Arabidopsis thaliana: one gene and its partners. The protein of the gene in region 1 interacts with the protein of each later gene in a pairwise test. Each region holds a gene or a part of one and is shown in the gene's direction. Other genes may lie near its edges. The genes, in order: AT4G14720, SCL21, NF-YC2 and AHP2.

Region 1 (8,857 bases):
CAATCAACAAAAGTTCCAAGAACGAATTCGTTCCCCAAAGTTGATCGACCGCGAGTATCTTTACCTCACGAACATGGCCTAAGGCTTTTCAACCCGTACCACATTCGTGAGTTGTGTCAGTTTGGACAGGACTAATATATCACTTGGCCAACTTCGGATTTTTAGAAAACCGCTTTTAAATTGAAAGTTTATTGGAACTAAAGATCTAGAAAGATTTTGAAACCAAGATATCAAAAATGACTATATATATGTCTATATGGTTTGTAAATATTTTTAATAAAGTCCAAATTATTGCATAAATCTTTGACTATATGTGTATGTATGTCAGTAAGAGGAACATGGGTTGTTGCTAGTTTATTTCTTTTAATGGTTGATCATGAGAGATTGTTTTATGCTTTATATCGGACTTCTATCACTTATTTTGAGACAATCCATATCAATAAAAAAGATTTGCCCACAAAAGACAGCATATACGGTTGGGTTGTTCTGCGGTCGTCCAATTGTAGTCACCATCAGATAGTTCAAATCGCAAGAACCACAAAACAAAGATGAGGCCCAAGAAAAAGACTGACTGATATGATTTAAATGGGCCTATGAAAAGAATAGGCCCATTAAAGGATGGTAAAAGTGTCCCTACAAAGGGGGAAACAGGTCCTGACTCACTGACTCATCCTCTGTACCCGACCCACGCACTCGCGACCCCTCTCCCTGCACAAACATAACCTGTACGGTTCTTCAATCACTATTCATATTTTTTTATTTAAATACCATTTTTTTCCTTATAATATAGTAGTTTTCATGTTCATTACTCGATTATCTTTGCATTTACAAAAAAATAGATATTACACATAGTTTCAAAGAACAAAAAAAAGTCAAATTTACACTAACTAGCTTTAGTCCTTAGTTTAGATATATATATCTAAAAAGCTAATAATTTAGACGAGTAATTTAATTAATTCGACTAGATATTATTTGTCTAGTGGTTTATCTACTTTTGTGTAATAATCCAAATTTTAAATTTTGGATGTGGATGAATGAGTTTTGTAGACAATATATATATTTTTATATAAATCTGAAAGAGAGATGTTAGAACGATAAGAGACCATCACATTTGTTAGGATACAGCAATATGAATTGCAATCTTTACTTCGCCTTAATAGCAAGATCTTGAGCTCGATCAATTAATCACTTTCGACTCGACAACACATATTGAGAAAACCAAACAAGAAAATATATATTAGAGAACATAAATTGACATATATAGTGTTCACCAACCAAAATGGTGAACTACTTCAAGTTAGCCTCACAAGATTGTTGTAATCGATGGAAGTTTACAAGTTTAGTTGTTCTGATCATCTTATTAAACCAGTAATCCGACTAACAATTGGCTAGTAGTTCACCTATATGTTATATTCCAAAACCTCTCATATTCATGGTCAATTACAAAATCACAATATTGTTTTTTTTTAAAGCACATCATAATAAAGTCAACAATATATAATTTAAAAACCTTTAAGAAAAAAATAAATTTGGGTAGGGTTTGGTGAGTGGTGTCGATAGAAATGGCGGATGCATCCTTTAGATTAAAGGTATGGTACCAACTTGGATCCATTTCTTCGATAACGACTCTTCCTATTTCCACTCTGTTTTTTTTTTGTTTCCCTCTTCTTTATCTCATATCTTCCACTACTCTCAATAGTCAATTCTATATCCCAATTTTTATGTTAAGTTTTTACGATTTACAAGTTATTGGCAAATTGAAAATTGCTGTCAACTTGCTAGAGGGTATTGTAACAGTACTACCAAATATGAGGTCGAGTCTTAAGTGCTATATATGGAGAGAGATGATTTACGTTTGTGGAATCGCAATAAGTATATATTATCAAATGCTAGTCCATGGACATAAAACTATGAGCCAAAAATTAGAAATTTCTGGTTAACAATAACAATAAAGAAAAAAAAAATGGTATATGCATATACAGTATAAGGTAGATAGTTTTGATTTTTGAAGACCATTGATTAATATTATATATTTCAATATCAATTGTTGGTAAGTTATAAAAACCTTCAAACGAGAGTGAATTAACTTCAAAGTCACAAAGTTCGACTTTCGATGTTAAAAAAAATAAAATGTTTACACGTTCCATTCTCTTGTTCAAAAAAATTATGGATCAGTATTCCAAATTTCATAGTAATCTAAAAAGAAAAAGTTGCATTAATATGGTTTGCTTATCTAATCATTTTTCGGGACATCACCGTATGTATGGATGACGAAACTATATTTTAAAAAGAAGTTTTCAACTGTTCGTTTATTCATGCATGTATATCTTGACAATTACGACATTGGATGAATTGAGTGATGAATCCTTATCGTACATCACGAGTATAATTACATGTATCATGCATTGTTATCAATTATCACTTTATATATTGGATAATGAGAAGGGATGTCACGCAAGACCAAGCAAGGTTTAAGGGAGAATCGATATTGGTCAGACTCATGTGAAAATATATTTCTCCTCCTTCGTCTTGTCAATTTATTACTCTATCTCTTGTATTTTTCAATTGTTTTGGTATTCACTTCAGAAAATGACTAGTCTTCGTTTTTATGTGTTGAGCCATTTTCATTTACATGCATCTAAATGATCTACTGAATATGGATATCGAAGAGATTTTTTAGTATAATGGTTTGTGCTAGATCCTTTAACAAAAAAGTAAATGGTTTGTGCTAGTGTTTTTGTTGTATTGCTAATTTGCTATCCAATTCATAGCACACATGTTGTTGCCAAACAAATGCTAAATCCATTTTAAAAGTATCAACTAGTAAATTAGCTTAACAAATTTTTTGTTAACATGTTTATGAGATGTTTTTTTAAGAAAAAAAAAACTCATTTAACATGATTACATTTAGGGTTTGATTGGTTGTTTTAAACTGAAAATTGTCTGTTTGCAAAAATGTTTGGAATGATTATCTTTTTGCAAAAATTGCGTGACATGTTGAAGTGTTGCAATGCTGGAGGTTCTGCTAACTAACAAGTAATAATCGTATAAGTGACATGATCTTCCATTTTTTAGAGATACTAACCAAGAATTGTAAAACCAGGAAAAAAACACTAACCAAGAATTGATGATTGTCCATCTAGACTAAAGTAGTATACAAACAAAACACAAAAGATATTTTGTTCTATTTTTGGAATAACTCTTATCCATTTATAGAAATAATTAGTTGTTTAATCAAAATATCACATGCAAATTGATCGTATGCGATTTTAGATAAATTGACATCCACTCAGTAATAAACAAACAAGATACTCTCTGATTACAAAATAATCTCTGTTTTCTTTCGTGTCATTTTTCTTTATCACTCATGCTATTATTATATTTAAATTTAATATAAAACTGTTACCATTTACTATTTTATTTCACTGTTTGACGCGAAAAAAATAATCAGCATAAGATTTACCCAAAAAATAAAAAATAATTGGGATACTTAAGCAATGCATGATTAGGCTATAATCTAGAGAGACTAATAGGATGCTTACGTGGCAGTCTAGGGAGCTTCGCTGCTCCAAAAACCATTCCCCTAAAATTGAAGCCCATAGACTATTAGCGACTTCACTCTTTCTCTTTCTTTCTCTCTCTCTCTCTCTCTCGCTCTTCTAATTTTGCCCTCAAAACCCTCCAATTATTACGAAAACGCCACTGCTCTCTCGTCGGGACTCCGGTGAGGCCGTTTTGGCCGGAATCTGACAAGGGATATGGATGTAGGAGTTACTACGGCGAAGTCTATACTTGAGAAGCCTCTGAAGCTTCTCACTGAAGAAGACATTTCTCAGCTTACTCGCGAAGATTGCCGCAAATTCCTCAAAGAGAAAGGTTTCTTCTTCTTCCTTTCTCCATTTTTTTCCGGTCTTATTGTCTTCGACGGTAGGATCTTCCTCACGGATTTTGCTGAGAAGAATCGTACATAGTCAATTTTTTGAAATTCTCTATTCTTCTTCTCTCCGAGCTTTTTTTTTCGCTCTCTGGAGAATGGCGGCTGACACGTGTCGAAACAGGAATGCGCAGGCCTTCGTGGAATAAATCTCAGGCGATCCAGCAAGTTTTATCTCTTAAAGCTCTCTATGAACCTGGAGATGATTCCGGCGCCGGAATCCTCCGCAAGATCCTTGTTTCTCAGCCGCCAAATCCGCCTCGCGTGAGTGTTGTTCTTCGATTTTGTTTCGATTTACAGAGAAAAATCTAAGTTCTGAAGTAGTAGAGAATCGTTTACTTGGTTGGTGCTGATTTAGGGAAAATTGTTGTTCTGTGTGTACTGCTGTTTTGTTCACAGGTTACAACAACGTTGATTGAGCCAAGGAACGAGCTCGAAGCTTGTGGAAGGATTCCTTTACAGGAAGATGATGGTGCGTGCCATAGAAGGGATTCTCCAAGATCAGCTGAGTTTTCTGGTAGTTCTGGTCAGTTTGTTGCGGATAAAGATAGCCACAAGACTGTTTCTGTTTCCCCCAGGTTTACATTTTCTTCTATAGCGTTTTGACTTTGTGTGGTATCTTTCTTCTGCTTTCATGCCTCAAGAAGAGAACTGATGCATTGTGACATTCTGTTTGTGATCTTAGAATAAGTACTTGGTTTGATATCAGTGTCTTAGACATTGAAAAGTTTCTATATGAATCATGGTTTTGATGGTGGATTGGTCACACAGAATTTAGGTTAAAAGAGTCAGATAGATCTTCTTGGTTCTGTGTTACTCTTTACTCTTCTGTTTTGAGGATTGGTATGATGTGATGTGATTATTGCTAGTGAACGATAAATCAGTTACTTAGTCCATTAGTCTATATGATTTGTGAATTCTGCAATTACTAACAAGAGTTTTAGGGGTAGTTCATGTACAAAGTCTTATTGATATTAGGTGCATGTTGTTTTATAAACAAATTACTACTCCAATGTTATTTAATTAAGTTGTTTAAACACGCTTTTTTGTAATGTTGCATCAGAAGCCCAGCTGAAACAAATGCGGTGGTTGGGCAAATGACGATATTTTATAGTGGCAAAGTGAATGTATATGATGGAGTACCACCTGAAAAGGTAAATGAATCACATAATTCTGTCCAGCCTGAAAATATAAATTTTGATGGTATGGTTTTGATCATTCATCTTGTGTATTGATTTGCAGGCCCGGTCTATCATGCATTTTGCAGCCAATCCAATTGATTTGCCTGAAAATGGTATTTTTGCTTCTAGTAGAATGATTTCGAAACCCATGAGTAAAGGTAAGCATTTGCTAAAGTGTCTGATCTGCTTTTCAGTTGAAAGATTGATGATTCAGACTTGAAATGAGTTTTTTTTTTAATGTATAATCTAACTTGAAAAAATGACTAGAGCTGCTGCATCTCAAGATGAGTCTTTCTTTCTTTCTTATGTCAAACACGGCCTTTCATTTTGTCCAATTTTGAAAGGAGGCATTGTTAAATTACCAAAGAAGCATGTCTAAATGCTGTAATTGCTGCTACCTCTACTAGCTTATGTGTCTACAGATGCCTCGTGCCCCTTTTTTTGAAATTGTGATTTGATTTTTTCAGAGAAGATGGTGGAGCTTCCCCAATATGGACTTGAAAAGGCACCTGCTTCTCGTGATTCTGGTACAAACAGTACTCATTTTACCTTAAAGATATGAAATCCTATTATTCAATGATGCTTTAAAACACCTGAGAGCGAAATTTGGTCCACCTCTTCACCTCTACATGCTACGCTAAACTACTTGCTTGTTCTGCATGATATACGACCATGAAATTCTGTTAATTTAACTATTGTTCTTTTTGTTGGTCTTTTCTGAAGATGTTGAGGGTCAGGCGAACAGAAAAGTATCGTTGCAAAGATATCTTGAAAAGCGGAAAGACAGGTAGTTGTTGCTATTATGCTGTGTGCTTGCTTATTCCAAATCGATGAATACTGATACCTTTCTTTCTGAGCAGAAGATTTTCTAAGACCAAGAAGGCTCCAGGAGTTGCGTCCTCTAGCTTGGAGATGTTTCTGAATCGTCAGCCACGGATGAACGCTGCATATTCACAAAACCTTAGTGGCACAGGGCATTGCGAGTCACCTGAAAATCAAACAAAAAGTCCCAATATCTCAGTTGATCTAAACAGTGATCTAAACAGCGAAGGTATGAACAAGCATTTGTCAAATGGTTCCAATGATCTCCCTTAAAACTCTCATTCGCTTTTTTATAGATAATTAACAAGGTGCCAAAAGAACTGGAGATGGTACTACGGGTCAAAAGGCGGGAAGAACAATTTCATGTTCTTATAACATGTTAGCCATGTACAAAAAGAAAGAAAGCAAACAATGAATGTTCTCGTTCATTGTGGAAGAAACATGGGTTAAAGATTTGAGCTGGATCAGTGCGGGTCTTGTATGGTTTTGTTTTTTTTACGGGTTGCGTCCATCTTTTTTGGTCTGTAGTTTTGAGTAGGTTAGAGAGACGCGAGAGAGAGAGAGAGGATGTGGCGGTTTGTATTATGTAAATGCTTGTCTTATAATGAGAGAGACCTTATTGATGATACCAATCTTTGAGGTCCAAGTAACACAACTTCTTTGTGATTGATATGTATGAGATAATTAATTTGTCTATTTTCATGGCATGATGTATGTGATATGTCTGAGATTTGCAACATTCTTCTATAAAGTTGAGAAATAAGGGTAGTTTAGTCTTTTTAACCAAAGATTTTTATTTATTTGATCTTTTCCCTGTTTTAAAAAGAAGAATCGAGTAATCGGGTGGTTTTGAAGACGAAGAAGGACTAAGACATCACGAGGAACACGATGGGTGAAGCGGTCAAGGTATGTTTTTATCTTTGTCTCCTCTGCTTCTGATCTGTTAATGCCAATCGATAATTCCTAGTTTTGCGATGCAAGCATGAATCGTCGATTGTTATCTGAGTGATTTGATTCATTTTCGACGATTTTCGAATCATCATAACTACTTCTTTTGCTCAAATCTCGCAGTCAGTTTAATGCCTATTCGTATTCAATTTAGTTATGCAATTGACGATTTCTCGAATTGTCTGAAGTTTTGAAGCTAAAATCAGATTAAATATAAAATATCTGAACATTGCCTCCCAAGGAATCTAATCCCATCTTGATGTGCTTTTGCTTAGGATGGGAGAGAAGAAGTGATTCAAGCTTGGTATATGGATGATAGTGAAGAGGATCAGAGACTTCCTCACCACAAGGATCCTAAAGAGTTTGTATCGTTGGACAAACTTGCAGGTCCCCCTCTTTGTGTGTTTCAATTCAATGTTGTTCTCTCTGCTTCTCTATTTTGTTTCACATGTAATGTTTGTGTGCAGAGCTGGGAGTACTTAGCTGGAGACTTGATGCTGATAACTATGAAACCGATGAGGATTTGAAAAAGATCCGTGAATCTCGTGGTTACTCTTACATGGTTTGTGGTCTTTATTTATTTACTATCCCACTAGACTTGAATGGTAGATGTTTATTTTTGTCCAAGTCTTATTTTAACTCTCTAGGGGTTTTCTCAATCTTGGTTTGATGATTAAAAAGTGTTCAAAATGCAGGACTTTTGTGAGGTATGCCCGGAAAAGCTTCCAAACTATGAAGTGAAAGTGAAGAGCTTTTTCGAAGAACATTTACACACTGATGAGGAGATCCGTTACTGCGTTGCAGGAACTGGTAAGAACTTCTTTTACTGGCGGCTTTACTCGTAAACTTAAAATTTCGATATAGTAGTCATGTTTTATTTTCTTGGGAAAAAGGTTACTTTGATGTGAGAGATCGTAATGAAGCTTGGATTAGGGTATTGGTAAAGAAGGGAGGTATGATAGTCTTACCTGCTGGGATCTATCATCGCTTCACTGTGGACTCTGACAACTATATCAAGGTGCAATGTCAGCTTTTCTTCTAGCCATTTATTTTATAGTTTGGGCTTGCTTAGAAAATTGAAATATCTTGTTGAACAGGCAATGCGGCTATTCGTGGGTGAACCGGTATGGACACCATACAATCGCCCACACGACCATCTTCCTGCAAGGTACAATGTCCTGGGTTTTCCCCTTTTGTTTGTTCTCTTATGCAAACAATGGGATATATAATCAAGCAAGAAATTCTGTTATTTTACGAGAAATAAATTCTGATATTTTACAGGAAAGAATATGTCGATAACTTCATGATCAATGCCTCGGCTTAGAGAGCTTCCTCTCTCTATATCTGGCTTTCTGAAACAAGGATCTATAAACAAGGCCTACAATAAAGAAAGCTTTCCTGTCAAGTATTGGATATTTATATGTATTCCTGTGTAGAATGATGGCTTTTGGTATGCTTGAGTTGTTGTAAACTTAGTTACACTCTCTGATATGTCTCTCTTTACCATCTTTGTCGTATCCCATATACGAAAAGATTACATTGGGATTCATATTGTCTTACGTTCGTTCCTATGTGCAATATGTTGAGTTTTTACACAAATCTCTATTCTTTTTTATTTGCTTTTCAAAAACCAACAAATTAGAAGAAACTAATAAGAAGTAATACGTCCAACCGCGTCAACTTCTTTGGTTTAATCTAAACCATGGTTCGTTTGGTTGTTGTTGTGTATCTTAACATGCTGACGGTTTTAAGGATGGTTCGTTTGGTGGTTGTTGTTATCGAACATGTTCACGGTTCTAAGGAAGAAAAGTGTGGTTTTGTGTATTTGTGGTTGGACATAAGATTTTCGTTTTCGTTTACATTTGTGGCTTTCTTTTGTAATTTCCTTTTAGAGTTTGGAATCTCCTTAAATCCGACCTACATTAACTCTATAGTCTATAGAATTGGAGTAATCATTTTATTCTCCTATCTT
Region 2 (7,767 bases), on another chromosome or scaffold:
CAACTAGTAGTGCATCAAATGTTTGATTAACTTTGAAGCTAAAATTTTAAAGAATTTCGAGAACTATAAAATACTCAACTTCGCATCATTGTTGAGAAGATGAAAATTTTCTTGACAAGGATACGCAGATAAAAGTATTATTGCATAGACGCAGTTTCACAAATGTCTATGAATCTTCTTTTCATAATAGAAGTGGAGAACCAACAATGGTGATAGCCTATAAAAAGGCACCTGGTGATGTGTTACAAACAACCATATACTAGGCTTGTCAAGCCAGTGGAGCAGACTGCAATAAGATTAAAGCCTAACCAACCTTAGCTTGTTTCAAGGCCAGCAGGCCAACACTATCAAGGACCATGCCTTCGTTGTCTTCAATAATTATTACCAGCGTTATAAGCACAATGGAGGTTCTAGTTACTTTAATGGCGCATCACCGATTTTTTAAAAACATTTATCTATTTATGACTAAGAGGTTCCGAGCTAAGCACATACATTCTCACAAGCTGGGAACCAAAACATTTTATTTGGTCTGCACATTCATCCTCTTAGGCGGGAACCAAACCATTTTAATTTATATGGTTCTCTCCCGAGTGCCACTCAAAAATGATCATGGATTGCGACCCTAGTATGCAATTCTGGCTAAATCCTTTGGTTTTAGGAGGCTTAAAGTTCTGCTTCCAATATTGTTGTGTTTCAAAGTTGGTGGTGCAATAAATTTCACCTACATATCTTGTTTTACTCATTTGTTATTTTTGGTGCACATGCAATAAAGATTAGATGTTTCACTTTTCTCTTCTTCTCCAGCTAATGAAACAGATATTATATTCAAATGTAGAACTTCAATAAGATATATGGTATTAAAATTACATCAATTTGGTAATTGACATTATCCATTCTGAAACAAAATAAGCTATATATGATAAGCTTGACCACATTCCATATAACATAACTCATATATATTTGAATCAAATTCATAGTCAACAAAATTTGGCAGTTGATATGACTTACACCTAAATATAAGATCTTACATAATTCATTCTTTATTTTGTTGGTCAGAGTATAATCCATTCTAAACACAGAATACTAACACTATAAAATACTCGAGTTATAACCATCTTTAAGCTCTCAAACAGTTCAACTTGCCTCTTGTAAAAGATGAAAACTTTTTGTTTAGGGATAGCAATTGCTCTACTTTTCATAACAGTAACGTTTTCAGGTACAATATTATTGTAACATACACATAATCTCAAAGATCTCTATAACATGGGGTATCTTATTTTTGTAGCGAAAGCGGAGTTCGGACAATGGTGTGTAGCCGATGGACAGATACCAGATAATGTGATACAAGCAGCCGTAGACTGGGCTTGTCAAACAGGTGGAGCAGACTGCAGTACGATTCAGCCTAACCAGCCTTGCTTCTTGCCCAACACTGTCAAGGACCATGCCTCTGTTGTCTTCAATAACTATTACCAGCGTTATAAGCGCAACGGCGGTTCCTGTAACTTCAACAGCACTGCATTTATCACACAAACCGACCCTAGTAAGCAACTTTATCTAAACCCTTTTTGTTACAGTTATTTAAGCTCTTTGATCAATCAAAATCTTGAACCATCTGTTTCTGATTATCTCATGATTTGATAGGTCACGATTCGTGCCATTTTGAGTATGTGCCATTTTGAGTATGTCCAATGATTCAAAGGAAAGACCAAGATGAAATGAAAGATGATGAATTATACTACCGGTGAACAATATAAACAAATCTTTGTTGGAACTTGGAAGTTCTTGTAATGTAGAATTTTGATAAATTGTATGGTAATAAGATTACATTAATATGGTCGTCATTTACATAATCCCTTTAGCAACAAACTGAACAAGTAAAGGAAGATGCTTAATGGTTGTCGACACAGAATTGTTATTAAGCAATCTCTTAGGTAAACAAAAAAAAACAGTGAGTTCATATGTAGGATAAGCTTGACCACAAACTTGACAATATAGATGGTTATGAGATTGTTTAGAAAAGTAAAGTTGCCCATGCAGCAATGAACGCAAAGCCTCCGAATGGTGCCAATGTCGAAAACTTTCTGTCCTCCCGCAGCGCTACCATATAACACCTGCAACAACATTTCAACACACATGAAACTTCTCACATACTCATACCCGGAAATAGACTATTGAACACAAAACTAAAGTTATCTACTAAGCATCTAAAATATAGTTACTTCTCCAAAGAGCATACCTTCACATATCAAAGGAAGTACAAAGGGGACAAATACCATTCATTAACTCAAATACAAAGACCTATGCTATTAAATAAGTGATACAATGGTTTCCAAATGCTTCAGAGTTGGACACATGTCGAAATCGATAAAATCTCCCTAGCCACGAAGAATTGTGGCAAGTATTGCTACTGCTAGAGATTAGATATGAATTCTAGAAAGTCCAAATCATATCTAAATAGCTCAAATATCCATGAATGCACTACTATAACCTCAATGACAAGACATCCAACAAACATCTAGCACAAAAGCTCTACCATACACATCTCAAACTGAAGAATCTGAGAAACAAAAAGATAACAACTTACGTGCCGGAAAAGGCTACAATTCCAGCAGTCAACAAGCCACCAAACTAAGCAAGAAAAAGATATGTCAGCTCCATCAACTCTCAAAGGACAAAGATTAGAGAAACAGAGTACAAGAAGAGAAAGCTAACAATGTTGGGATATTTGGTGCTAGGAGCAGAAACAAGAGCAGCAGTGTGAACCAAATGGTAAAGTGAAGCCGTTTGCCACACCTGAACAACAACAAAAAAACCTAAACTTTCTCACAGAAATCCAACAAAGTATCGAATTTTCCAACAATTTTCAAGAATCTAAACCTGTTTGTAAGAAGGGTTCTCTGGTTTAAAGACATGAGCACCATAAGTTCCCAAACCAAGAGCAGCCATACCTAAACCAATTCTATCCGAATCAGTACCTTTCCTCACAAGATCAAAATCAAAAGATCATTACTTTATCTTAAATCTCACCGGAAATAGCGGCGACTTTGTGCCACATCCGAGGATCCATCGATCGTCGTCCTCTGATGTCTCTTAGATTGCTTCTTACACTATTTCCCATTTGACCAGAGACTTTAAGCGAGATGTGTCAAGTCGGTGATCGGGTCTTATTCGGTTTAAGCCTAAAACGACGTCGTATGTGATGTGTTATTTTCTTCACTACAGCAACTAAAAAGATTCTTCCTTTTGCTTCAGCTGCGAGCTTTGGTTGGATCTCTCACTTGCAAAACCAAATCCCTTATCGACTTCCACCGAAAGATCACTTCTTAACCTACACAAGGTTTGTTTTTCTCATAAAAATCAAACCTTTATTCTCTTTTCTTGATGATTTTGATGCTCTGCTTCTTCTTATCCACAAAACATGAAAACATTTCTTCTTTGATAAGTTTGATGTTGGTTTGTTGTAAATGATTGCTCTTTCTAGCAAGCTTTACTCTAAAGTGTGAAGAGAAATTGTCAAATTAGTTTGTTTAGGATTGGAACTCTTGTATGCCTTGTTTATTGATGAAGTAGTTCATGGCTGACGTAGATTCATAGAGTCATGAGTTGATTTCAATGATACTAGAGTTCTTGTTAGAGTTTTGATCTCCATGGATATTATTGTTCAATATTGATATCTAATTCAGTCTCTGATTAATGACTTTGTCTATGAATTCTACAGGTGTTTGTTATGAAGATCAGATAAATAAAAGGTCATTTGAGGATAATGGTTGATGTTCAAAGATTCTTACTTGCTTATTTGTGATGGACAATGTAAGAGGTTCAATAATGTTGCAGCCACTGCCAGAGATAGCTGAGAGTATCGATGATGCTATCTGCCATGAACTCTCCATGTGGCCTGATGATGCTAAAGATTTGTTATTGATAGTGGAGGCAATATCAAGGGGAGACTTGAAGTTGGTACTTGTTGCTTGTGCAAAAGCTGTTTCTGAGAATAATCTTCTAATGGCACGATGGTGTATGGGTGAGTTGCGCGGTATGGTTTCGATTTCTGGTGAGCCAATCCAGAGATTGGGAGCTTATATGTTAGAAGGGCTTGTTGCTAGGCTTGCTGCTTCTGGTAGTTCGATATATAAGTCTCTCCAGTCCAGAGAACCAGAGAGTTATGAATTTTTATCTTATGTGTATGTTCTGCATGAGGTTTGTCCATATTTCAAGTTTGGATACATGTCAGCGAATGGTGCGATTGCAGAAGCAATGAAGGATGAAGAGAGGATTCACATTATTGACTTCCAAATTGGACAAGGGAGCCAGTGGATAGCACTTATCCAGGCTTTTGCAGCTAGGCCTGGTGGGGCTCCAAATATTCGAATTACCGGAGTTGGTGATGGATCTGTCTTGGTTACAGTCAAGAAGAGACTAGAGAAACTTGCAAAGAAGTTTGATGTTCCATTCAGGTTCAATGCGGTTTCAAGGCCAAGTTGTGAAGTTGAAGTGGAAAATCTTGATGTCCGAGATGGCGAAGCCCTTGGAGTGAACTTTGCTTACATGCTGCATCATTTGCCAGATGAGAGTGTAAGCATGGAAAACCACAGGGACCGGTTGCTGAGGATGGTGAAGAGTCTATCACCTAAAGTAGTCACTCTTGTGGAACAAGAATGCAACACGAACACTTCCCCTTTCCTTCCTAGGTTCCTTGAGACATTAAGTTATTACACGGCAATGTTCGAATCTATCGATGTTATGCTTCCGAGAAATCACAAGGAAAGGATCAATATCGAGCAGCACTGCATGGCAAGGGATGTCGTCAACATCATAGCTTGTGAAGGAGCCGAGAGGATCGAAAGACACGAGCTTCTCGGGAAATGGAAGTCAAGGTTTTCCATGGCGGGTTTTGAGCCATACCCCTTGAGCTCAATCATTTCAGCCACCATTAGAGCCCTCTTGAGAGATTACAGCAACGGGTATGCGATTGAAGAAAGAGATGGTGCTCTGTACCTTGGTTGGATGGACCGAATCTTGGTCTCATCTTGTGCATGGAAGTGAAAGAATAAACGTCTCCAAGAATGTAATGCAAAAGACAGAACTGGAAGTAATAGATAGTTTTGTCTCATAACCATTAATAAGGTTGAATCAAATCATATACATCCCCATGCTACAACTATTACACAGGCTCCATCAACAAAGAAGGGCTCTTGTTGTGTTACCTTCTCTTCCTGTAACTCTTATTTGAACCAAATGGAAGTGGTTACATAAAGGTATTAAAGCATACTATTCCATTAAACACTAATCTAAATCTGGTCCCGCCTGAACAACAACTGTACAGTCTATAACCATATCGCCTGTACTAATCTATGTTAAAACAGCCATATAAATTACCACTCGGTACAACACTGAATGCTTAGCTTTGGGCAGGCTCTGTCTTGGGTTTTTGTTCCTCGCTCTCCAGGGTTCCTACTGCCTTCTCTTGACAAACAGTGGTTTTATCATCTGACTTTGCTTCCGGCTTGGCGTGATTGGCTGCGTGATCTTTGTTTGCATCTGATCTCTCTTTTATTTCCTCCTTCAGCTTCTCATCCAAAACTGGACCTTGATCAAGACTTTTCTCAAAGCCATTAGTCTTCGTTTTCTTTCTTAAGTGATCTTCGACATGCTGGTCTTTTGTAATGGATTGAAGAGTTGAGCTCTGTGGAGTCTTGTTGGCATCTCCTTCTTTATCATCAACTTCCGAGTCCAGCATGTTATTATGAGTAACAACTCTTCCTGGAGGCATATCGTGGTCGTGTTTTCCCTCGTAAGTTGTTATAAGCAACTTTGTGTCATGAGATGACCTCTCTACGTGTTTCTTGACGGGGCATCCAGGGCTTGAACATCTATAGTAGCTCCTAATACATAAAACATCAAATGGAGAAAGAACGTGAGCAGCGAAGAATGAAACCAAAAGTTTGACATTATATTTCAAACATGTAAGCAGTCACTACCTTGGATATGGGCTGCCTTTTACTGATTTCTGACCATATTTACGCCATCGGTACCCATCATTCACAATATCAAACAGAGTCTGAGTGTGAACCACAATGCGTGAATCATTGGTTGACCTCTCCACTGGACTCAGCTCAATGTTCCCTCCTTTCTTCCTGATTTAGTGACATCAACATAAGAAGAAAAAACAAGGAACACCAATGGTGAAGTCTTCCTCCAGAACCATGAAAAACAAACCGACATATCAATCATCAATACCTTCGCTTTGCGGTAGGACTATTATAATCCTTGTGAGTGTTGTCCCCCGTTATCCTACTTGATTGTGAAATATCAGTTTTCACATCATCAGCTGGTGGAATAACTGAAACATGTAATCCTCCATGGATCTTTGGTGGTTCGGTTTGACGAAGTGTCTGAACACTGGATCCAGATGTTTTCTCTACAAACATGATATCATAAGAAACAATGCACAGCTTATAAATTAGAGAAACTATATCTATTCTTTGTTCACCTTTACTAACAGCTGTGAAGACATCACTTCGCTTATCCTGATTGATAGGAACAGCACCAGCAAGAGGCTTTGGGTGATCATGTTCCCCAAAGTAAACGGTATCCACGACTTGTCCACCCGCAGACCGTTCCAACTGTTTTTTCGCTTTGCAGTTAGGGTGAGTGCACCTGTAATAGCTCCTTACAAACTCATTTCCTTTCACAAGTTTCTGTCCATATTTCCGCCAGTTGTATCCGTCTTCCATAACCTTCTCACGAATAAAAGGACTATTCCCTTCCGAACCAGACTGCAAAGATAATGCACCGCTACTTTCAGAAACCTTCGGTGCTTTCTCGGATACCGGGGAAGCAACATCTACTTCCGACTGCGAAGCTACCGTATGTGGAACAAGTTTTTCAAGCTCCTTACAGTCAGTAGATTCCAAACTTTCAACAACGGTTTCAGTTCTAGTTACAGCCACTGGTATGACCTCCGCTTTATCAGTAGTGGCAACAACATCATCCACTGCTTTAGTCTCATTTGAATGGTCTAACTCCATATCACTAGCCAGAACTTTTCCCACCTCAGCCATAAATACTAACAAACTCAAGTAAACTCAAAACCGGAGAGACTCGAGCTTAACCCCAAATATATCTAATTCCCAAAGCCTGAAGGAGAAATCAAAACAAACAAAAACCAAATCATTACAGTGAATTCACACTAAATTCCACAGAAACAACAATTAGGAATAAAATGTTGCAGAATAACCACTAAAAGTCTCCACTTTTGGGAAATTTCTATATCAATTACAATCTTAGTAAAGACTCAAAATTGATTAGTCCTATGCTTCACCAACGATCTTTAGACTCAAGTACTTTACTTTGAAACAAACAAAACCCCAAAATTAAAGCATTTGCTAAAATCTTATAACCAAATTACATAAAAAGTCGGCAAATTTGTTCCATTTACTACGGAGTTAAGAGACGACCCAGTAACAAGATTCGCATAAAGATTCAACATTTAATACTAAATTAAAGAATTTAATACAACTTCAAAAACAAAATAAAATAAAGAATTTACCTAGCACAGACATCGAGAAGATCATCATCCGACCAAATAAGATAATCCCAAAAAACCGAAGCTGCTTATGTTCTTGTAAGAATCTCGTAGATCGAAATCGAACAATCTCAAATTGGGTTTAAGAGAGAGAGAAAAGAGAAGAAGAACAAAAGGTCATGTCGAAGAATCAGATGGTTGGACTTAGAAATGACTATGGAGAAAGAAGAAGAAGAAGAAAG
Region 3 (6,788 bases), on another chromosome or scaffold:
CAACTTCGTGTTTAAACTTTTATTTTATTTTTCTCTTTCAAATAAGGAACTTTGCGTTCTGAAGTGGTGTTTTAAAGATAAGTCATTTATGAAGTCATTTATACGTTAGATATAAATATTTTGAAATTTTATGAAGTGGTGTTTTAAAGATAAGTCATTTATGTTCAGTTTAAAACGCAATGTCTATATATACCAGTATTCTCTAATTACTAATAGAAATGTGAACTTTCATTATTCTTTGTATTAAAACTTCATAGCAAAAAAAAGTAAATAATATTCCCTCCACATCAATTTAAGTGATGTTTTAAGGGTATTTTGTTCTTGATTCATTATAAGTGATGTTTTCAATTTGTTAATATCTTAATTTTTTTGGCTAATTATGTTTTACATCATGTTTTTGTTATTGTCTGAAAACTGAACTTAATGATGTTTTTATGTAAAAGAGATAAATTAAATGAATGTCTTGTGTTTTCTTAATTTATGCGTAAAAACCTTAAACATTAGATACAAAGTGATTAAGAAGTAAATAAAAGGAGTAAATAAGAGTAAACTTAGATGATGATGATGATGATGTGGGTTGAGTTTTATAAGAAATACGAAGACGAGTAAATAAGTTAATAGGCTAAAGAAAAGGATTATTGAATTCTCCTTCTGAACTAAATGTCAAATAATAAGTGTCAGGATTAATAAAAAATAAACTGATCTGAATTAATTAGGATTACAGTCTACAGATTTATTCTATTTATTTCTCCAATTGGTGTTACTTTTGTTTGTGGCATGGCCCTTGTGGTCTTTAACACACACGCACACAAACAACCGCTCTAAAGTTTACAATATACTAGATTTCTACTCGCTCATATCAAAATCTAAAGTCGAAAATCTTTTTGTATAAAATATTTAAAACTGAATAATCAAGAAATGTATCAAACTATTTAAATATTTCCGTGATGCTCAAATTAATATACATATTTTTCGTAACTCGTCAATGAATCATGCATAACTTGTTTACACAATTATACTTAATGGACACTATGATCTGTACACGGGCATATGAGTAACAAAAGAAATTTAAGAGATTACTAGTTAAAATCTGCCGTTAACTTCCGTACGTTCCATGCTTTTGGGTCTCTCTCTACGAGTGAAGTGCCTCAAATAAATAAGAGTTTTATTGAATGGAGTGGAAAATCTAATCTCTAACTAATAATTATAAAACATCTTCTGACGTAAAGAGCCGGGTTATATCAATGATATATATATAGGAGCTCCTGATAATAATCAAAAACATAACATTGCATATATAGAGAAAGATATAGTGAAGGTAGCTATAGAGAAGAAAGTAGTGTAATAAGAATGGGGAAAGGAAGAGCACCATGCTGCGACAAGAACAAAGTGAAGAGAGGGCCATGGAGCCCTCAAGAAGATCTCACTCTCATCACTTTTATTCAAAAACATGGCCATCAAAACTGGAGATCTCTTCCCAAGCTTGCTGGTTAGTATTTATTCACATGCATGTTTCGGTAATACTATAAAGTTTTAAATAACTAAGAGAAATAATGATTGATATATATACATAGGATTGTTGAGATGTGGGAAAAGTTGCCGACTAAGATGGATAAACTATCTGAGACCGGACGTGAAGCGAGGCAACTTTAGCAAAAAGGAGGAAGATGCTATCATTCACTACCATCAAACCCTTGGAAACAAGTTTGTACTCTACCTATTCATCTAATTTCTTTATAATAAGACAATATATAGTATGTAGAGACTAATTGATATATGTGATCATCAGGTGGTCAAAGATCGCGTCCTTCTTGCCGGGAAGAACTGACAACGAGATCAAAAACGTGTGGAACACGCATCTCAAGAAACGACTCACTCCATCTTCTTCTTCTTCATCCCTCTCTAGCACTCATGACCAAAGCACAAAAGCAGATCATGACAAGAACTGTGACGGGGCTCAAGAAGAAATACATTCAGGGTTAAATGAGAGCCAAAACTCAGCTACTTCGTCACATCACCAAGGCGAGTGTATGCACACAAAACCAGAGCTTCATGAGGTTAATGGACTCAACGAGATCCAGTTCCTGCTCGACCATGATGACTTTGATGATATAACCTCTGAGTTTCTTCAGGATAACGATATCTTATTTCCGCTAGACTCTCTTCTTCATAACCACCAAACTCACATTTCAACCCAAGAAATGACTCGAGAGGTAACCAAATCGCAATCATTTGATCATCCTCAACCGGATATCCCATGCGGATTTGAAGACACAAACGAAGAATCCGACTTGAGGAGACAGCTGGTTGAATCAACCACACCTAACAATGAGTACGACGAGTGGTTCAACTTCATTGACAACCAAACTTACTTTGATGATTTTAATTTCGTCGGAGAAGTATGTCTATGAATGTCAATAATATATGCATGACCAGTGTTGTATCCACTTTTGAATGTTGAGTAAATTACTATTTTACATGGATTGCCCATGCATTGAGAAGATGCTATGTTTTATGAGAGCTCTATGATATTGGTTCGTTTTTCGGCTAGATTCACACAAACAACTCTTCTCTTTTCCTTCTCGATCACTCTTATGGCTGCTCTCAGAGTCTCCGTTTTCAGAGGCCAAAACAGGTCGCAGGTTGATGGCTGGCAATGGCAGCATCGACTGCTTCCGGTGTGTCGAGATCAGGCGCCACACCAAGCATCAAGTCCTGAAATCGAATTAGGTGTGTGTAAGTTTCTTAGCCTAGATACAAACAACAAGAAATATGACTCCAACTGTACTCATCATTTCAATCACTTGATATTTGCTTCCTGTAAGGGCTTCAATGTCAAAAGCTTCTGAATTATCCTAAGTCCATACATATTTGAGAGACTGAGACGGTCTCAGTGAGACCAAACAGAAGAAGAAAAGAAAAGAAAAAAACAGAACAAATACTACAAAGAATACACAAACTTTTGATTCTTGCTCCAACCGTTTATTAAAGCACATGACCTGTTTGGGATCATCACATATCACACTAGAATCACAAAAACTACAAATTTCACAGCTCCGAGCACGCAATGATTAACAGAAATCCGACAACTACACCAATCTCTTACAGATTAAAACACAAAGAAGAGAGCTTGTGTAAGTTAAACACGTATGGTAAATACATTAGCAGTAAGAAGATACCTTGGCTTCTGAAAAGTGGAGCAATTGTGGACTTCACATAGAGGGATGGAGGAGACTGTTCTGCTCCTTACAGAACAAAACTAGCGACGACTCTGCACATAATTATCGGCATAATTAAACAAAGTCTGGCTCTTTCGAACCCCAAAGAAGAGTGGCGATAGCAAAGATGGATCCTTTGCCTCTGCAACTTCTTTCGATGGTTTCCTTTCCTCTGCTTCCCGTTTCCCTTTACTCTGTTGACAATTAGGGTCAAGTTTTGATCCGGCCCGGGTGATTTACAGCCCACAAGGTCCAATGGGCTTCTTCGAAAATAAGTTTGCGCGACGTTGCAAATGTCACGTGACTTTTGTTCACGCGCACTTCACGTGTTCTTCGTTATTCTTCGAAACCGTCCGATAAAGAAATTTCTGGAATAACACAACATAACCAATGAAAAGCATACAGGTGGAAGTAACGTAAAAACTCCCGCTTTTTCGACACGTGTCAACTAGGCGGAAGATACGCACCACCAGAAACGCTTGATAAAAAGCTAACCCGCCCCAAACCCATTTATCTTAGGGTTTCGCGAGATCTCACTCTCACTGGTATGTCTGTGTTTCTTCTTCCATTTTCTGTTTCTATTGGAAACTTCTCTCTCCAATTTCGTTTTCTTCACTTCTTTGATCCTTTAGCTTTGACAAAACCGTAGTAAAGGATCAAAAGTTATCATCTTTGGTCCATGTTGTGAATCGTGCTCTGCTTGGGTCGTGACTCCCAAATCCGGATTTGAAACCAGCATATCTGAGCTTAATTCGAGCATGCATGCGCTTCTTTTTTTCTGATTTTTTTTAGACTTTGGTTCTAAATCCCTTAACTTTGGATTAACTGTCAATCTACAATTTTATATTAACAGAGATAGCTTAGCAATGGAGCAGTCAGAAGAGGGTCAACAGCAACAGCAACAGGGAGTGATGGATTATGTACCTCCTCATGCTTATCAGAGTGGGCCAGTAAATGCAGCTTCCCATATGGCATTCCAACAAGCTCACCACTTCCACCACCACCATCAGCAGCAACAACAGCAGCAGCTTCAGATGTTCTGGGCTAACCAAATGCAAGAGATCGAGCATACCACTGATTTCAAGAACCACACCCTTCCCCTAGCCCGCATCAAGAAGATCATGAAAGCTGATGAAGATGTGAGGATGATCTCTGCGGAGGCTCCTGTGATTTTTGCCAAGGCCTGTGAGATGTTCATTTTGGAGCTCACTCTACGTGCTTGGATCCACACCGAGGAGAACAAGAGGAGGACCTTGCAGAAGAACGACATCGCCGCTGCCATTTCCAGGACCGACGTGTTTGATTTCCTTGTGGACATAATCCCGAGGGACGAGCTGAAAGAAGAAGGTTTAGGCGTGACCAAAGGGACCATACCATCGGTGGTGGGTTCCCCGCCATACTATTACTTGCAACAACAGGGGATGATGCAACACTGGCCCCAGGAGCAACACCCTGATGAGTCTTAAAACTTTTCCCCTTTCGTTTGTTTGGTTGTATCGTAGTAAGGTAGCTCTGCTCTGCTGGGAACCATTTCTATTGTGTTCTGTAATGACATGTTAGTATATCCCCAGTCTATATCTATGGCAATGCAGTTTCTGTTCTCATGTGCATTAAATAATAACAAGAATGATAGAAAGAAAATCACTACTAGTAATGCCCAAAACTTTACTTCACAGGAATTCAACTATACAGCTTTCATGTGATTGCTACTTTACAACCATTTTCTTTATGCTATTAAAAGCTTGGCTCCTATTCCTTTAAAGTTTAAACCTTGTCATCCTCCACATCTCCCTTAGTGGATAAAACCTTAACTTACTTGAACATGGATCCAAAGATACAAGTCCCTTCTCGCCATTCCAGTTGCAGTCAGGTGGTTTATATACCGAGATACCGAGAGCTTATCTGCTTCGGTCTCCATGCATTCCAAATGAGTTTTTTTTTTATGGGCTGTCCGTATTAGTAATAAATTACAGAAAATGCTGGTGCTTCAATCATTTGCTTGAAGACATGGCTTCCTCAATCCTTCTAATCACAATGCTAAGAGGACTTCCCACTTGGAGAGCTTCAACAGCGGCCCTATGTGCTGCCTTGTGCCACTTGAGTAGATTGTAAGATTGTAGAACAGACCACCTGGCTTGATTCGACATCTGTATGATCAAACGCACAGATTCGCAATGCTTAACAATCTGTACACTTGTGCAAGAAAAGTGGAAGCACATATTATACTAGTCAAATCAGATATATATGAATTTCATTAGTCCTGACCTGAGCTACGGATAACGGTGGTTCCAGAAGGACTGAGATGCTCCTGAACAGATTTTCATCATTCTCTCCACCCTCAGCCTCACCATAAACTAGCGCTTCAGCTGCAATACCAGCAAATAGTACCATGCTATACCTAAGAGAAACTGAACCAGCATTAGGTTTGTGAATGAGAGAAAACTCAGAGGGAGAGAACAACACCTTGACTAATAATCACCTATCAAATGAGCTACCGCTAAGTCGTCCCTCAGCAATCTCACTCTCCATCTTTTGATCCCAGAATTGGGTTCCAGCCTAGAGAAACACATGATAATCCATTTATGTACTCGGTTCCATATGTAGCTAAAAGAACATAGAATCACAGCACTACAAAATAGAATAGTATAACACTAGAGTGAATCTAAATAATACCTGGCCTTGAACCCCCATTTGCATGGCAACAACCGGATCCAATATCACACCACGGATTGGGCAGCCCATGAGGTATGCTGCACGACAAATAAGCTGCAATCGTTAGCCACAAAACGAGAAAGAAATTTCATAAAAATACTAATGATCACGAATGTCTTACCAACAAGAAGATGACCAGCTTCGTGAACTACGATTCTACGCTTATGTGGAGGCCAGTAGCATGATACTTGGGCTAAGCAGGTACCACCAAGAAAAACGGAATCCAAATAAGCTAGACCCAAAATGACAGCAAGGTTTGGCCGCACATCAATCTCCTGTGAAAGAAGATAGGAGACTCCACCCAGCAAAGCAGCCAGAGCAATGCTAGAACCACCAGAAAGTCCCCACTTCTTCGGTGAAAGTTTAGTCACTAACCAATATAAACAGTAAAATAAGTTTCCATCGCCACACACTGAGTAATCAAAGATGACTGAAGAGAGAAATTTGAGCTACACACCTTCCAAGCCAGTTGCAGACTTCAGGACAGTAGGTGTTACCTCTCTTGTTCCTTCCAAAACTGCATCACAGTGATACAGAAGCAAGAAACTTATGAAACGATACAAATTAATCAGTTCAAATGCTCGCACACATAGCTAAACATTACTTTTGTACATCTATCTAAACAGAAGTTGATTTTGAAGGCGCAAAGAAGAGAAAACAGAGTACCAATACTGGTGAATTTGCCGAAGTTGGCCAAAAGACCTCTCTCCTTAAGAAACCTAAACGCACTTCCAACAAGTCTCATATCATCTGCATTCAAACACGCATCTAAAACTTGCCAATCCCTCTCCAATTCAAGAGCTCCCAAGCCGCTTAACTTAGCCGTGACAATAGATTCAACCGAATCACGCTGTTCAT
Region 4 (7,129 bases), on another chromosome or scaffold:
GTTTCATTGTTTACTCCATTGGTAAGCCTCTCGACGACTGGCTCAAGGACATGCCTGCCGTTGCCTAATGATGTTCATTGCTGACTCTTTCGTCCTCCATCATTTGTGCTTTTCTTCTTCTTGTGGTTTGTCTTTAAGACTTGTTATATTTCTTACAATATGTTTGTTATGTTCTCTGGTGTGTGTTTTGTTTTTTTTGGTATTACTTTCATATTTTTTTGGTCGAAGAGGACTTGTATTCGACAATGTCGCTTCAATTTTGTTGTTTCCTTAGAAACTAAATAAATATTGGTTTATATTGGAGTAAAATGTGTTTGTACTTTGTAGTTAATCGTTGAAAGTTTTGCCACTTATTGAGCTTTGTCTGCGAGAGTTGACTCGGAAGAATATTTGCACATTGTTCATAGAGAATCACATGATATCTCTTCTCTGGTGGATTAGGAACCAAACGCATCTTGTAAAAGTTTCCAGGTTGGAGATTCTGATTTCTGAGTGACACCTAACGATTCCATATTTAAAGCTTTATGTTTTTGTATGTCTCTCATTGCGATTGGTATTTTTTGTTTAAGTAAATATGCATAAATCCATTCGTAGAGGCATTCCTTACAGTACTAGTGACCACATATTAACCTTTTAGGTACGCACACCGAAGTTGGCTACATAACTTGGGTGAGTATTCCAATCTGTAATGTGAATAGTTTACCATATCACATATAGCTCTGATACCATAAAAAACTATATGTGAATAATATTAAAAATCTTATACACAAAATTTTCTTTTAAATGGTTAGTCTAATTGTAATTTAAAAATATCGAAATAATAAGTTGCAATTTTTTTTTTTTTTTTTTGGGTCTTTGAAAAGAAAATATAATGTCAAATACTTTAATTTTTCCAAGTAAATCGAAACATAAGATTGATATTTTTCTTTTATATAAGAAAATTAAATTAGATTTAATATTATTAAATGAGTGTTTCATATTATATTTTTCAGAAAAAGAGTTTTTATTAATTAACCAAATACCAATAATTTACTTAAAAACTTGTATTGAATCCAAATGTTTCCCAAAAAAAAAATATTTAATTGGGATTGACAAAAATAGCACCAACAAAATTTTTTCTTCCAAAAATAACAACTTTTTGAAAAATTTCACAAGTAGCTTTCAAAATTTTAATTAAATATTAAATATAAATAATTAATTTTATTTAAATAAATAAAAATAAAAATTTTCCGCTAAAAATTTTTCGTCAAATTTTCTGCCAAAACAATTCGGTAATAAATTTTCCCGCAAAAAAAATTTTCCGTCAAATTTTTCTTGTAAAAAAACTTGAGGAAGCTAACTACGACATTCGTGAGGATTTCACGGAATTCAGGAAAGATTTTACAAAAAAAATTTTCGTAAAATTCTTCCTGAATTTCGAAAAAGAAAAATTCGGGAATTCAGGAAAAATTCTACAAAATTCAGGAAGGGTTACAAAAGAAAAAAATTATAAATTTCGTGAAACCTTTCCTGAATTGCTTAAAATCTTTCCTATATTTTGTAAAAAAAATTCTGAATTTTTTTTTGTAGGTAAAATGTGGGCGGCGTAATTATTTTTGGTGGAAAAATTTTGACGGAAATTATTTTGTAGAAAAATATTGTTGAAAATTTTTGGTATGAATTTTTGTATTTTTTTAAATGTTAGTTGTAATAATTAAAAATTAAATAATTATTTGAGTGTTATTTATGTTCACAAAACTTTTGAATGGTATTTTTATCAAAAAAAACTTTAAAATTATGTTAATTATGAAAATTCTCTATTTAATTTTTTTCACCCAAATAAATAAATACATAAAAATGTCCAAATATTTGTGTGTTTCTCTTTTAATTATTGTTTCCCATTTAAAGTAAAAAAATCTGGTAGCAGCGTTACAATTCGCGAGAAAGACAAAACACAAGTTTCTTCTTCTTGGGATTGGCTATTTCCAGAAATCCAAGTCAATAATCAAAGTCCAAACAAAAAAATCCTCTCCCAATCTCCGCTTCACTCTTCTCATGGACGCTCTCATTGCTCAGCTTCAGAGACAATTTCGTGATTACACCATTTCTCTCTACCAACAGGTTTCAATTCCACAATTCTTCAAACCCAATTTCATCTCTTTGCTTAGCTAATTTAGCTCATATACACACTAGATTGACTCCTATATGCATAGATTCATGACAAAAGTGAAGAAAGATTGAATCTTTATGTAGATTTTTACAAGTTATGATTTTTAGGGATTTGAGTTGTGTAAAGGTTGGAACTTTAGATTCATGGGTTTGTGTTTTTTTTATGTGAAGGGGTTTTTGGATGATCAATTTACTGAGTTGAAAAAGCTACAAGATGATGGAAGTCCTGATTTTGTGTCTGAAGTGCTTTCACTTTTCTTTGAAGATTGTGTGAAGCTTATCAGTAACATGGCTAGAGCTTTGTAAGTTTTTGATATTCTCTCAGCTAGATCATCATTGCTTGTGTTGTCTTAAAGTGTGATTGTGGCTACTTCTATTTCAGGGACACGACAGGAACTGTAGATTTTAGTCAGGTAGGTGCTAGTGTGCATCAATTGAAGGGTAGTAGCTCAAGGTATGTATCATGTCTCGCTTTATATAAGTAGCAGAAGTTGTGTGTTGTTGATTGATGAAAAGCTTTGTGTTGTTTCTATGTAGTGTTGGTGCCAAGAGGGTCAAAACTTTGTGTGTTAGCTTCAAGGAATGTTGTGAAGCTAAGAACTACGAAGGGTAAGCGAGTTATGGTTTTCTCTTGGGACTCATTGGTTGAGTAATAATAGTCTCATGTTATGTTACAGGTGTGTGAGATGTTTGCAGCAAGTGGATATTGAGTACAAGGCGTTAAAGACAAAGCTTCAAGATATGTTCAATGTGAGTGTGAATAGAATCCATCTCTGTTTTTGGCTCTGCTTTTAATGAATCATTTTGGTTATGAGTAATGAACAAATCATTGACATTGTTGTTGTTGTTGTTGTTTCAGCTTGAGAAACAGATCATTCAAGCTGGTGGTATAGTTCCTCAAGTGGATATTAACTAAAGAGACTAGTCCATAAGAAGAAAAAAGATGATGACTTTCTTTCTTTAGTTTCTCTTCTAAATTATTTTGGATTTGGTGTTTGCTCAAAAACTCAATAAAATATGTGCAAAAAGAAACAAAAACAAGTGATGGTTGTTTATAAATCAGTAGTATGTATTGTTTGATCTCATCCGAGAAAATTGAAACCATTGGACTAATGAATGTGATGATAATATATATTGGTTTGCTTCTGAAAGGTTTGGTTTGAGTAAGATATAGTGATTACTAAGTAAGTCTTGACTAGTGGGTGCTTCTAAAAATTGTGTGTTTAGATCTTTTAGTTTCCCAAATTTGCCCATAATGTTTTCGTAATTATCTGAATTATTTGTCTCGAAGTTGACCTTTACTCAAATTAGTAAAAGTTTGGTAGTGACTTTCCAAATTTTTACAACCTGTCTCCTTATCAGAATATGAATATCGTAAACCCTAAAACCTAAATCTAAACCATTACCCATTCGATATCCGAAATGGACATTCTAAGAAAATATGGTAATTCTTTCAGGATAAATCACAAACCGCTTTCGACGAGATTACGGAGCATGTAGTTAATAAACGGGGAAAATGTCATTTAAATCATCACTTTACCATTTTCGTTGGTTTAAATCATGAACTTTGGATCTGGTGAATTAAATCTTTAATTTTATGTTGACTTTCAAATTAATCACAAATTCTTGTTGACTAAGCAAATTGAGACACAAATTCTTTTTTTCGATGTCGTCAATCGACCTTAAGACGAAATATTACTTTGAATTCGAAAAAGAAGAGAAATTCCAAAGAAGATGAGAGATTCTGAAGAAAAAGAGAGAAAAAATCAAAAATTTTGATTAGAAAGATTTCTAACGATGTGCCTTAATTGGCTTAGTCAACGAATTCGTGATTATATTGAACGTCAACATAAAATTGAGGATTTAAATCACTAGATCGAGATTTTATGCTTCAAAACCAACGGAAATGGTAAAGTGATGATTTAAATGACATTTATCCCGTTAATAAACCAATGAAACCAATAATTGTGGGTTGATATATCTTGAACTATTAATTTGGAGAGATTTGTATATAGAAATTTTATTTTAGGGAGAAAACTAGGTATAGAACTTTAGTTTTAGAGATATATAAAATTATAGATCGGAGTCATACTTTGAACTCTGGTAATAGTTTGGAAATAGACCCTTTTTTTTCCGAAATGGACATTTAAGAAAATGTGATAATCATTTTGGGATACATCACAAACCGGTTTTAGACCAACGTAGATTACCGATATAAAAGATACCAATAAAAAAATTAGAGATTAGGGAGCACGTAGTTAGTTGTAGACGCGAGTGTAGGAGATAACTATCTCTTTGCAAAATAGCCTTCATAGCTTCCGCAACAAGTAACTTTTTTCATCAGTCTCTACGAGTTAAAAGCTGAGCGAGAGCTAGACTCTCTGCAGATCAAGCTCAGCGATTCAGGCCCTGATACCTAAATTCAAGTTAGTGTTTTGCTCTGGTAAGCTGATCAAAGCTCTCATCTTTCTACATTCTTTTGATTCTTCCCCTATTTTCTCGAAAAAAGCTCACGATTTTTTACAATTTCAGTGTTTTCTTCTCACTCTCCTGTGTTTGATTCTTGTGGGTTTAACGTATTTGATGCTGAAACAGGTTCAATCAGATGAAAGTTTTCATCTTGGTGGCAAAATCCATAACCTTCATGTATGTGGTTACCAGAGGATTGATTCTGGTGTTTACTCGGTTTGCTAAGGATTTGGGGGTCTTTGTTCGGTTTCAGTGTCACTAAAAGAAACTTCTTTTATGACTGAGACTATTGTGGAGCATGAGATGGAAGAAGAAGCTGCAATGAGCTTGGTTTTGTTTTCAGAAAAAGTATGGCTTTGAATTGTCTCCTCATGATGATGATTCCATGGATTTAGATGGTGTTGAGTTGTTACTAGACTTGAGGGAAATGGTTTCTCAATCGGGTTTCGAAAAGTCTACTACTTGCAGTGGTGTTATTGCTCTGAGAAGTAATCTGCAGAGTAAATCAAGTCACAAATGCAAAATATGTGGCAAGAGTTTTGAGTGTTATCAAGCTCTAGGTGGTCACCAAAGAATTCACAGACCGATTAAAGAGAAACTAGTGCGTAAAAGGGAGTATACTAAATTTGATAATTCATTGTTTGAGTCCTTAGATGCTATTTCAAAACCATCAAAATTTGAAGTCTCCCAAGAGGAGAAGATGTTAGATTGTGTTTGAGTCGAAACAAGAGTTCAGTGAAGTATATCCTCGGAAGAGTAAGTTGCAGAAAAGACCTGAGAGTAGTAGCTCCTGCTATGAATGCAAAGTATGTGGCAAGATTTTTGGGTGTTATCGAGGTCTAGGTGGCCACACGAAACTTCACAGATCGACTAAGAGGGAATTAGCGAGTACTCAAGATGAGAATTCACTGTTAGACTCATCAGAAGCTAAGAAGATTGTTTCACAACCATCAAGCTTTAAAGTCTCTCAGGAGGAGAAGTTCTTACATTGTGTGGAGTTAAAACAAGACTTCAGTGAACCGCTTTCTCATTCGGGTGCATTACCATCTACTCTGAGAAGTAAATTGCAGACAAAAACTCAGTGGAAATCAAGCTGTCATTGCAAAATATGTGGCAAGAGTTTTGTGTGTTCTCAAGGTTTAGGTAATCACAAAAGAGTTCACAGAGAGATTAGCGGGAAATTAGCGTGTAAAAGGAAGTACACTGAAGACTATAATCCATTCTCTGACTCATTAAAAGCTAAGAAGATTGTTAAAAAACCATCAAGCTTTGAAGTCTCTCAGGAGGAGAAGATCTTACATTGTGTTGAGTTAAAACAAGACTTCGGTGAACTGCTTGCTCACTCGGGTTTCGACAAGTCTATTAGTTGCAGCAAATCGATCAAAGTGAAAAAAGTAGCGCGTAAAAATGAGAAAACTGAAGATAGTACTTCACTGTTTGGCGTGATTGACTCAGAAGCTAGCAAGTTTGCTTCACTACCATCAAGCATTGAAATCTATCATGAGAAGACCTTCCATTGTGTTGAGTCAAAACAAGACTTCAGTGAACTGTTTTCTCGCTAGTCTACTAGTTGAATCTTTTTCTCTTCTAAGTACAGAAGTTGCAGATGTATACTTAACATTTTCCTCTTGCTTGGTTCAAATACAGTTTCTTTGGTTAACTCATGTTTTCAGATACAGAACCAATCCAAAGTTCAAAATTGATTACTTAAACCAATTAATTGGTTTAGCGATTAGGGAGCACCAAGTTTATGATACGCGTGAGTGTAGGATATAACTATCCTCTGTCTTCTTTCTTTTGCATAATAGACTCATTAGCTTCCACAACAAGTAAATTTCTCCATTGTTGTCTGTCAATAGCTTAGATCGAAAGCGATACTACAAACTCTGCGATAAGTAAAAAAAAAGTGTTCTTTAAGGTCTTCAGCTCTTCGGATTAGGTCAAAACGTGTTCTTTCTCTTCCTGAGTCATAAAATCAAGTGAAGATTTTGTTCTGGTAAGCTAATCAAGCTCTCTGCTTTGCGATTATTCTTTCGTTTTCTTCCACATTTTCCCGAGAAAATAAACTGGAAAAAGCTTTAGACTTTTTCAAGTTTCTAGCGAAACATGATCACTCTCTTCTTAGAAATGTCTGATTTTGTGTGTTTCTTCGCGATCTTTGTCTTCTTCTCTGTTTTCTCGAGAAAATCAAACGGAAAAGCTATGAGCTTTGTTTCAATTTTCAGGTTTTTGTCGGCGAAATGTCTCAGAGACTTCATGGTTGCAAAACATGCGGGAGAAAGTTTGGAACTTTAAAAGGTGTGTATGGTCACCAGAGGATGCATTCTGGTAATCACAATAGAATCGAAGATGAGAATGGTTTGGAAAGGATTTGGGGTCTTAAGAAGAAGTCTAGGGTTTGCTCTGTTTCAGCTTTTGATCGATTCAAAGGATCTTCTTTTATGGCTGAGATTGAGAAACATGAGGTGATTGAAGCTGCATTGAACTTGGTTATGTTGTGTCAAGGAGTTTA

What was found.
Region 2: the proteins of AT4G14720 (region 1) and SCL21 interact in binary tests that used the Arabidopsis thaliana proteins (3 or more experiments, as listed by UniProt).
Region 3: the proteins of AT4G14720 (region 1) and NF-YC2 interact in binary tests that used the Arabidopsis thaliana proteins (3 or more experiments, as listed by UniProt).
Region 4: the proteins of AT4G14720 (region 1) and AHP2 interact in binary tests that used the Arabidopsis thaliana proteins (3 or more experiments, as listed by UniProt).

Annotation. Positions count from the first base shown.
Region 1 is NC_003075.7:8,429,836-8,438,692, reverse strand, and holds AT4G14720 (TIFY domain/Divergent CCT motif family protein), read left to right. Parts: upstream 1-3,587; 5' UTR 3,588-3,758; coding exon 3,759-3,876; intron 3,877-4,058; coding exon 4,059-4,198; intron 4,199-4,333; coding exon 4,334-4,512; intron 4,513-4,997; coding exon 4,998-5,088; intron 5,089-5,176; coding exon 5,177-5,273; intron 5,274-5,582; coding exon 5,583-5,642; intron 5,643-5,838; coding exon 5,839-5,902; intron 5,903-5,975; coding exon 5,976-6,210; 3' UTR 6,211-6,233; coding exon of another isoform or gene 6,234-6,241; 3' UTR 6,242-6,720; downstream 6,721-8,857. Other genes in the region: ARD1 (acireductone dioxygenase 1), read left to right, coding at 6,826-6,843, 7,161-7,272, 7,353-7,447, 7,581-7,695, 7,779-7,903, 7,983-8,053, 8,167-8,209. UniProt on the Arabidopsis thaliana protein: Regulates the arrest of dispersed meristematic cells during lamina development.
Region 2 is NC_003071.7:1,717,851-1,725,617, reverse strand, and holds SCL21 (SCARECROW-like 21), read left to right. Parts: upstream 1-3,013; 5' UTR 3,014-3,027; coding exon of another isoform or gene 3,028-3,118; 5' UTR 3,119-3,337; intron 3,338-3,718; 5' UTR 3,719-3,801; coding exon 3,802-5,043; 3' UTR 5,044-5,257; downstream 5,258-7,767. Other genes in the region: AT2G04910 (Carbohydrate-binding X8 domain superfamily protein), read left to right, coding at 1,264-1,638; AT2G04900 (uncharacterized protein), read right to left, coding at 2,012-2,111, 2,585-2,628, 2,713-2,793, 2,878-2,948, 3,028-3,118; ZAP1 (zinc-dependent activator protein-1), read right to left, coding at 5,399-5,882, 5,979-6,134, 6,238-7,061. UniProt on the Arabidopsis thaliana protein: Probable transcription factor involved in plant development.
Region 3 is NC_003070.9:21,021,034-21,027,821, forward strand, and holds NF-YC2 (nuclear factor Y, subunit C2), read left to right. Parts: upstream 1-3,448; 5' UTR 3,449-3,763; exon of another isoform or gene 3,764-4,071; 5' UTR 4,072-4,084; coding exon 4,085-4,684; 3' UTR 4,685-4,869; downstream 4,870-6,788. Other genes in the region: MYB72 (myb domain protein 72), read left to right, coding at 1,351-1,489, 1,575-1,704, 1,790-2,411; AT1G56180 (ATP-dependent zinc metalloprotease), read right to left, coding at 5,210-5,365, 5,484-5,616, 5,698-5,774, 5,892-5,968, 6,052-6,300, 6,388-6,447, 6,597-6,788. UniProt on the Arabidopsis thaliana protein: Stimulates the transcription of various genes by recognizing and binding to a CCAAT motif in promoters.
Region 4 is NC_003074.8:11,260,314-11,267,442, reverse strand, and holds AHP2 (histidine-containing phosphotransmitter 2), read left to right. Parts: upstream 1-1,880; 5' UTR 1,881-2,034; coding exon 2,035-2,100; intron 2,101-2,319; coding exon 2,320-2,450; intron 2,451-2,530; coding exon 2,531-2,602; intron 2,603-2,685; coding exon 2,686-2,757; coding exon of another isoform or gene 2,758-2,761; exon of another isoform or gene 2,762-2,812; intron 2,813-2,825; coding exon 2,826-2,898; intron 2,899-3,007; coding exon 3,008-3,064; 3' UTR 3,065-3,317; downstream 3,318-7,129. Other genes in the region: UGD2 (UDP-glucose 6-dehydrogenase family protein), read left to right, coding at 1-68; AT3G29340 (zinc finger (C2H2 type) family protein), read left to right, coding at 5,003-5,218, 5,337-6,059, 6,843-7,129. UniProt on the Arabidopsis thaliana protein: Functions as a two-component phosphorelay mediators between cytokinin sensor histidine kinases and response regulator (B-type ARRs). Plays an important role in propagating cytokinin signal transduction through the multistep His-to-Asp phosphorelay.